2 linked regions of the Bombyx mori genome follow. The protein of the gene in region 2 purifies or fractionates together with the protein of the main gene of each other region. This does not show direct contact. Links are inferred from orthologs where the notes say so. Each region holds a gene or a part of one and is shown on either strand. Other genes may lie near its edges. The genes, in order: formylglycine-generating enzyme and N-sulphoglucosamine sulphohydrolase.

What was found.
Region 1: the proteins of N-sulphoglucosamine sulphohydrolase (region 2) and formylglycine-generating enzyme purify together in Homo sapiens (co-immunoprecipitation; 3 studies listed by BioGRID and IntAct, with this or other methods). This does not show direct contact. The link is inferred for Bombyx mori from reciprocal best matches to the Homo sapiens genes SGSH and SUMF1.

The regions. Positions count from the first base shown.
Region 1 is NC_085128.1:6,668,557-6,672,494, forward strand, and holds the start of formylglycine-generating enzyme, read left to right. Parts: upstream 1-1,593; 5' UTR 1,594-1,824; coding exon 1,825-2,347; intron 2,348-2,705; coding exon 2,706-2,877; intron 2,878-3,451; coding exon 3,452-3,611; intron 3,612-3,938.
Region 2 is NC_085123.1:826,485-830,422, forward strand, and holds the start of N-sulphoglucosamine sulphohydrolase, read left to right. Parts: upstream 1-1,544; 5' UTR 1,545-1,590; coding exon 1,591-1,687; intron 1,688-2,968; coding exon 2,969-3,098; intron 3,099-3,457; coding exon 3,458-3,594; intron 3,595-3,938. Other genes in the region: phosphomannomutase 1, read right to left, coding at 673-1,425. UniProt on the Homo sapiens protein: Catalyzes a step in lysosomal heparan sulfate degradation.

The sequences.
Region 1 (3,938 bases), on a different chromosome or scaffold from region 2:
AAAAAAGATATGTTTACACTGTTTACAGTACCGTACAATGGGGTAAATAGGGACAAAATCGACCTTCAGATTGAATTTTAAAATAGTTCCAATTAAATAGTCACTGCTCAACGAAAGAAATAAGTTGAGTCTTGAACGTACCTAGGTGATAAAAACCGTTACATAATTTTAATTATTCATTTTAAAGAAATAATCGGTAAAATAATGGTCGTCCCAATTTACCCAGCGTCCGGGGTAAATTGACACGGTTAAGGGTTAAATTGGGATATTTGTAAGGGTTGTCAACTCGCAGTACTGCGATATATAGGTAGGTGCCATATAATTATTTATATGGACCGAAATGATGAATACAATCCATAATTTAAGCACAATACACAACATAGTGTAAATTAAGCTGGTTTCTATTCCGAAGCGATGTGACGTGAATGATAATCAACAATACAATGATCAAAAAACAGTATGTGCATGTTATATTTTAGAAAATTATTAATTATTTCCTTAAAAATCACAACTCTGAAACAAAATGATAAAATAGAATAAAAAATAGAAAACAAAAGGACTGGAAATGCAATAATACAATTTTATTTAATCAACATTTTCAAAATAATCTTTGAGCAAGAGTAAGATATCAGGTGAATAAGTTAAAAAACAGCTTTATCTGATTACTGCCAATAATAACAAAAATAAAAGAAATTCTTTCTAAGCTAAATAACTAAACTCAATTAATTCACTCACTCATAATTGGATATCTCGGATTTTTAATTAATGTTACATTTAAAATCTGAGGCCTGTTTTTATTTGTGTGTGCGTTTTGAATGTTAACAAAATCATGATTCGACGCGTGAATAGATTCTGAAATAACAAAAGTTTTGATTCGTTTGAGTTCTTTTAACTTTTAATTTTTTTTATTGCTATAAAGAACATACGACCGGGCAGATTTTACAAGGTAAATGTCGCGAAAAAAAAGTAATTATATATATACTTTTATTTTACCTATAATACTTACATAAACTAATTGATAAACACATTAACCTTCTTTACATCACGCAATTAAGTGATAGTATAGGCTAAAAAATCTATTATAAGATATCAGTGACAACCCTAACAAGCCATCCCTATTTTGTCTTTTGGCGTTCCAATTTTGTGTTTTCTCGTCCCTAATTTTTCCAGTCTCGTTCCCAATTACCCTACAAACGTCCCAATTTTCCCCAAAAAGAAAGGAAAAAATATACATTTTTTATTTTGTCGAAATATTGTATTTAAAATAAGAATATTGCAACTTACCGTTTGTTGTGGTATTTCCAGGTGTATTAAAAACTTATATAAACTGTGATCTTATTGAAAAAACAACGATAATATTACTTTTTTTTAAAGTTCTTTAAGCTGTTTTAAAACGCACTTTTCAACCACTATTTTCAATTTAATTTGACGAATTTTTGGGACCAACTTAACTCATATTTAGTACTTGCATAGTTAACTTGGTTTTTCTTCTATACATTGATAAATATTAACATAAACAAAATTAGGTAGATTCCGTGCTACAGGTACTTTGAGAATCTTCCGCAGGTTTGTCCCAATTTACCCCAGGATCCCAATTTACCCCATGTCATGGTACGTGCCTACTCCAAGGAACGGCGGTCAGCGACTCTCGCATATTTACAAAACAATTCATGACATTTCACACTAGTTATACATAACTGAAAAGTAGACCATTACTTTCATCTTACCTGTTTTTCTTCAGTATTGCACAAATGAAATGCAACTCCTTTAACTTAAACGGCTCCAAGTTTTAAATTAGGTCTTGTTGTTATTGAATTAATAAATATGCATCTATCTATATGCCTTGTTTGGCTTACACAAATTATCTTTCCTTTGGTCGGAAGTGATTGTGGCTGCAGTGTGAATAGAAATGGAGAAAAAGACCGAAATAATTTATATTCAGGCAATAACAATGAACAATGCTCTGTTGAAAATATAAGTGATAAAGTTGAAGATGAACAGCGGTCTAACGAAATGATGGTATTAGTGCCGGGTGGGGAATACCAATATGGAACTGATGACATTGTAATTGAAAATGATAATGAAGGACCAAAGCGAATTGTCAAAGTTAAAAGTTTTTTTTTGGATAAGTATGAAGTATCAAATCAGGATTTTAAACACTTTACTAGAGTTACAAATTATAAGACTGAGGCAGATATTTTTGGAGACAGTTTTGTGTTTGCACTTTTTCTGAATAATACCTTTAAAGAAAAAATCAAAGATTTTCGAGTTGCCCAAGCTACTTGGTGGTACAAAGTGTTTGGTGCCAATTGGAACCATCCTTTTGGACCCGATTCTAGTATAACAGGTAATTTATTAATGTAAAAATATACATGTTAAGAGGAATTATTGCTTGTACCTAGTTCATAAATAGGTATTCTGTTGTCTCCACCATGAATAATAACATTGCAACCTAATACAATGTTAATGCAATTCCTTGCAAATTATAAGTCCCTATATTATATCTGGTGTGGGAGGGATCTTACAAAATCTATCCAATCACATGATAACATGTGAAAATATGATTTAGACTGACATCAACTGTAAGTATTAGGAGTCTTATCAGTAACAGTAGACTTACATGCAATGATGATGAAGTTGATACTATTAACAACGTCAATGATGATGATGATTGTGATACATTTTAAACAATATTCTGTGTTTAGATGTAATGGATCACCCAGTTATACATGTATCCTGGAATGATGCGAAAGCCTATTGTAAGTGGAGAAGGGCAAGACTACCTACTGAAATAGAATGGGAAGCAGCATGTAGAGGTGGACATCAAGACATTAAGTATCCTTGGGGAAATAAGCTTTTCCCAGAACGACAATACAAGTAGAGTTAATTAATTAAATAATAATATATTATAATAATTAATAATTTTATGTTAAAGGGCAGTATTTTGTAGGCAGCTGCTTTGCTGTGCTCTGGCATTGCTGATATCCATAAGTGATGGCGACTACACACCATGAAGTGGCCACCTACATACAATGGCAATAAAAAAAATAGAATTTCTAAGACTGTTACTATTCACCTTAAAAGTTTTATTAGAGCCTCAAAAAATTACTAGTAGGGCATATTTTAAGCCTGCATGGGTACCATTCTCTCAGTTTGTTTGCCGAGTGCTTTGTGTAGAAGTTGGTGCAGCAGCAGCAACAATTCTATTAAGACTCACCTTGTGTACCATTTAAGAGCAACAGCAAGGCAGTAAGCTCACCACCGATCTATACAATAAATATGTTTTTACATTTAAAACAAATTCATCAAAACTGGCCCCACATAAAGTGAGCTAAGGGCAAGAATAAGAAGATGATTTAAAGCAAATCCACCAAACTTTGTATCTAATATATTATAATAATATGTTTCTCTTCTTTGTTCCGTTTTGTTGTACAAACTTTTTTCCCCTCAGGGCAAATATTTGGCAAGGAACCTTTCCACATCATAACTCTGCCAAAGATAATTTTGTTGGTACAAACCCTGTAGAATTATTTCCTCAAAACGATTTTGGTCTTCATAACATGGCTGGAAATGTTTGGGAATGGACAGAAGATGCATGGACTGAAGATGATGTAAGTGAATTATAAGTACAGTCAAATGTCAAAACAAATATATAAGGTTTTATTGAAAGTTATGAAATTGATTATATGCAACATGTGACTGAATAGGCAGATACAAAGTTACTTTTTCTGATGTTGGGGCTAGAAAAATTGTGAAAACTTCCTTAGAAGTAAAAAGAGTTTTGAATGTTTGGTATGTAAAATCATATCATTTCTTAAAACTTGGTACACATGAATTCTGCGTATTGATGTGTAGCAAGCAATGTAAAATACACAATATTCTCTTAAGAACCTCAAAGAAACTGTAATATATATTGGGAAATTTCTTTTAGATAATGT
Region 2 (3,938 bases):
AATTAAACAATAAAGCAGATAAAACAAACACAGCCGTAATAGTATGTATAACGGGCATATTATTATTTAATTAATCTTCTAAAAGTCAATAACAAGACAATTTCAATTTAATAGGTGAATAGTCCCTTATTTTACTACACTGAAGTAGGTTAACATCAAAATATATTTATATATACTTCTTTCATTTAGATGGGTAAAGTTCATGGCACAACCTAGTATCAAGCAGTAAATATAACCCTTGAACGCTATTAGTTGCCACCCATCTCGAGACACAACAGTGGACTTTTTGTATTGTGATATAGTTGTCAAATAGAAACAAATAATGTCATCATCGCTAAAATATACAAGACACTTAACTACATGGGTTCAAAGTGTATCGTACATCATTAATTATGGACATTGATTGGTATCTGCCTAAAATTTCAATCATTTCATAGCTTTACTCATTTTATGCACACTGGGCAAATTAATCATTTGTGTCAATAAAGATGATTAATCTGTAATTTCTTCTTGCAGAATGTATATATTGGATTGCTACAAATAAGTTAATTTTCTTTTACCTATCTTTTCCTTTTAGATCCAATTGCTAAGTCCCTGAGTAGAAATAAACTGGAGGAAACTTATATACAAAATAAAATTTAAAATAATATTATATTTGTATATAAAATAACACTATTCCACATTAAGACATTTTTTTACTTGCATTTCAGTGTCACTTGGAGATGAGACTCTGTGTCCCACAGTCCTAGAGTCATTGTAAATTTCATGATCATTCCCACCAGGGTCTGTTTTGTCTCCAAAGAAGTGAATTTCAGCAAAATTCTCACTAGCTATGTGATTTAAGCAGTATGTCTTGTCCCATCCAATTGGGAACACATCAATACTGATTTGACCTCCTAGAGCAAACTTTAAACCCGAGTCTTTGAACTTGCTTTGAAGTGCTTCAACAAATTGGTGCCTAACTTTGTGTTTTGAATCATACTCAGAAAACTGATCTCGCTCTATTTGATTACATGATCTTCCAACAGGGCAAATATTAAGCATACTTGATCGGAATTCAATGAAATTACCTCTCTTGACTGGTAATTTGATGTTGGACATGTAACCCATGGCGAAGTTTATTACCTCTTGCAGTTTTTGTTCACCCAAATGGTTAACTATGCTCTCTGAACTTAATTTTTTTCCGTTCTTATGATGCACCAGTCCATTTTCACTGAATACGTAGTTGAAATTGGACACGACGTCCTCTCCGCCCATTTGTTCGGAAATCTTCATATAATCTGAACCACTGACCAATCCTACATCCACTTTTGATTTTACCTCGTCAAGAATGAACCTCCTGAATTCTTCTGTAATTTTTTGGCGCGGTTTTGTCAACGTTCCGTCAACATCGAACAAATACAAAACTTTCTTTTGACTAGTCATAATTGTCTCAAAAGGTGAAACTAGTTTGAATTTTGGTGGCAATTTTGGACCGGTCGATAAGTAGGACACCACCAGAGAACATCAAGTGCCAACACTTCACTCAGACACGTCAAACCGTAACAGTAAACACCAAACTTCAGTACAGAGAACTGATAAACTTTAATAATGCGAGTTACCGGCATCAAACTTGCCCTTATCTTTTATTTTTTCATTACTGAAACTGTATTATCTGATAAGGTCCGCAATGTTCTTTTACTATTAGGTGAGTCAGTTTAATATCTTACATTCCAACGTAAGCTTTTTAGTTCAGAGTTCGTGTTATTTATTGATTGGTTTTGGGTCAAGCGAATATTTGAAAGCTTCAACCACGTAGTTTGTAACATAGATAATACACATAGTCACATAATATTAATCTTTGGATTTTTCATTAAAAGTTTCACGCATCTGAATTAAATCTATGCACATTAAAATTATACTTCCTTATAAACGTTTTTAATGTGATGTGAATGCAACTTGTATTTTTTTTAGTTTGGCAAAGTCTTCTTCCGATACCATTGTTACCAGCGTAGTGTTTATAATACACTCAATTACTATACAGGGTGCCCTACAATGGGTTTTTCAAGCCGAAACATGGTTATATAGTTCATATAATATATAATTCATATAATTTAGTTCACTTTAAAATGTTAAAAACATTCTTACAAAAAACTAATTTACTAATTATTTCAACTGTTCGATGACAGCCCTGACAACAGAAGTACCGCTAGGTCGCTCATTCAGTTAAACGCGTCAAAACGAGATAGACCTTATCATGTTCGTTCAACTTATTTCAAACAATGACTACAAGCAAAATTCAGTTATCTTCTGAACCACAGATGTTTAGTTAGAGGTTAATGATGTTGTCAGAGGGAGATCCGAAGCTCAACAGTACATTAGCCAGGGTGACACCAGAGTTACGAAAAGTATTAACCTCTTTTTTGGGAGGGTTGTTTGTGGAGTTTTAACCTCGAGGGATGGACGAACTCATGGCCCACCCGATGTTAAGTGGTCACCAAACTCCACACATCGCATCAATGCCGCCGCCATATCGAGTTAGAACGGCTCTCTCACCTTTCAAAACGAAACGCATGACTGTTTCGTGGCATAAATATGCAGGGTAGTGGTGCCCACCCGTGCAGGCTCGGAAGACGTCCTACCATCAGTAATAACGTAAATTATAGTTTTTGTGGGTTTGATTCTTATTATATGATGTTATTCCATTACCGTCGATGTCATATGTGAGCATTTGTCGAATACCTACGTATTTCATCAGAAAAATTGGTACCCGCCTGCGGGGTTCGAACACCGGTACTGTCGTATCGCTCGACACGAATGCACCGGCAATCTTAACCTTTAAGCCACGATGACTTCCTAAAATAAGGGTGCCGTTTATAATAATTTATGATGTATTAGTACTAGTAGCAGTAGCTATGAGTAATATAAAATCGATGACAACGACAAGCTATGTTTTCTATGCTCAATGTTTTTTCTGTTTAATTTATAGCGGACGATGGCGGTTTTGAGATAGGCGCGTATCGCAACAAAATATGTCAAACGCCGAATATAGATGAATTAGCGCGAAACGGCCTGTTGTTCAACAATGCATTCACATCAGTGAGCAGTTGCTCCCCAAGGTAAGATACACGCGAGAAACGAAGCTCCTTCTAAAGTGTTAATATTTGGTGTCCAAGAAGCACAAATAAATATACAGCAATTTATGTAGCGTGTAACAGCAATACACAGACTGAAGCAGACCGATCTAATAGAATGTGATTACAGTCAATATACACACCCTTCAAACCGAAACGCATTACTGCTTCACGGCTGAAATAGGCAGAGTGGTGGTACCTACTCGTGCGGACTCACAAGAGGTTCTACCACCAGTAAACCTGCATGGATAAACACCGCTATTTATTTATAAAAACTTTCTGCAGGATATAAAAAACAAACAAAAGTTGTTTAATGGAGTTTTTTTTTCTCGACGGATTAACAGTCGGGCAGCACTCCTAACTGGGTCGCCGAGTCACCAGAATGGAATGTACGGGCTGCACCACGGCGTCCACCACTTCAACTCCTTCGACAACGTGACCAGTCTGCCGAACTTACTGCGCCAGAACGGAATTATGACGGGTGCGAATATTTCTTTTTGTTTTTTTTCCTACCTAAGCTGATAGCCCTGAGAGGATATTTCAGCGTAACCTTAACTAGTAGGTCAGCTTACGGGGCTCAAACCGGAGTTATGCTAACACTGACCCTAGCAAGAGCAGTGCTTCGTAGAATCTACCACCGGATCGGAAACGCGACCCACTTAGAAGATCCGACGAGAAACTCAGTGGGCTGTGTCTATGGGTTAATTCGCTCGTCGAGCCCTTCGTCGCAAGCGACGGGTTCGACAAGGACGGCGACCAGTGCTTGTGGTACCTAAAAGCACCGTTAATGGATCGGGAGGATCCGTAATGACGTGTTTTCGGCAA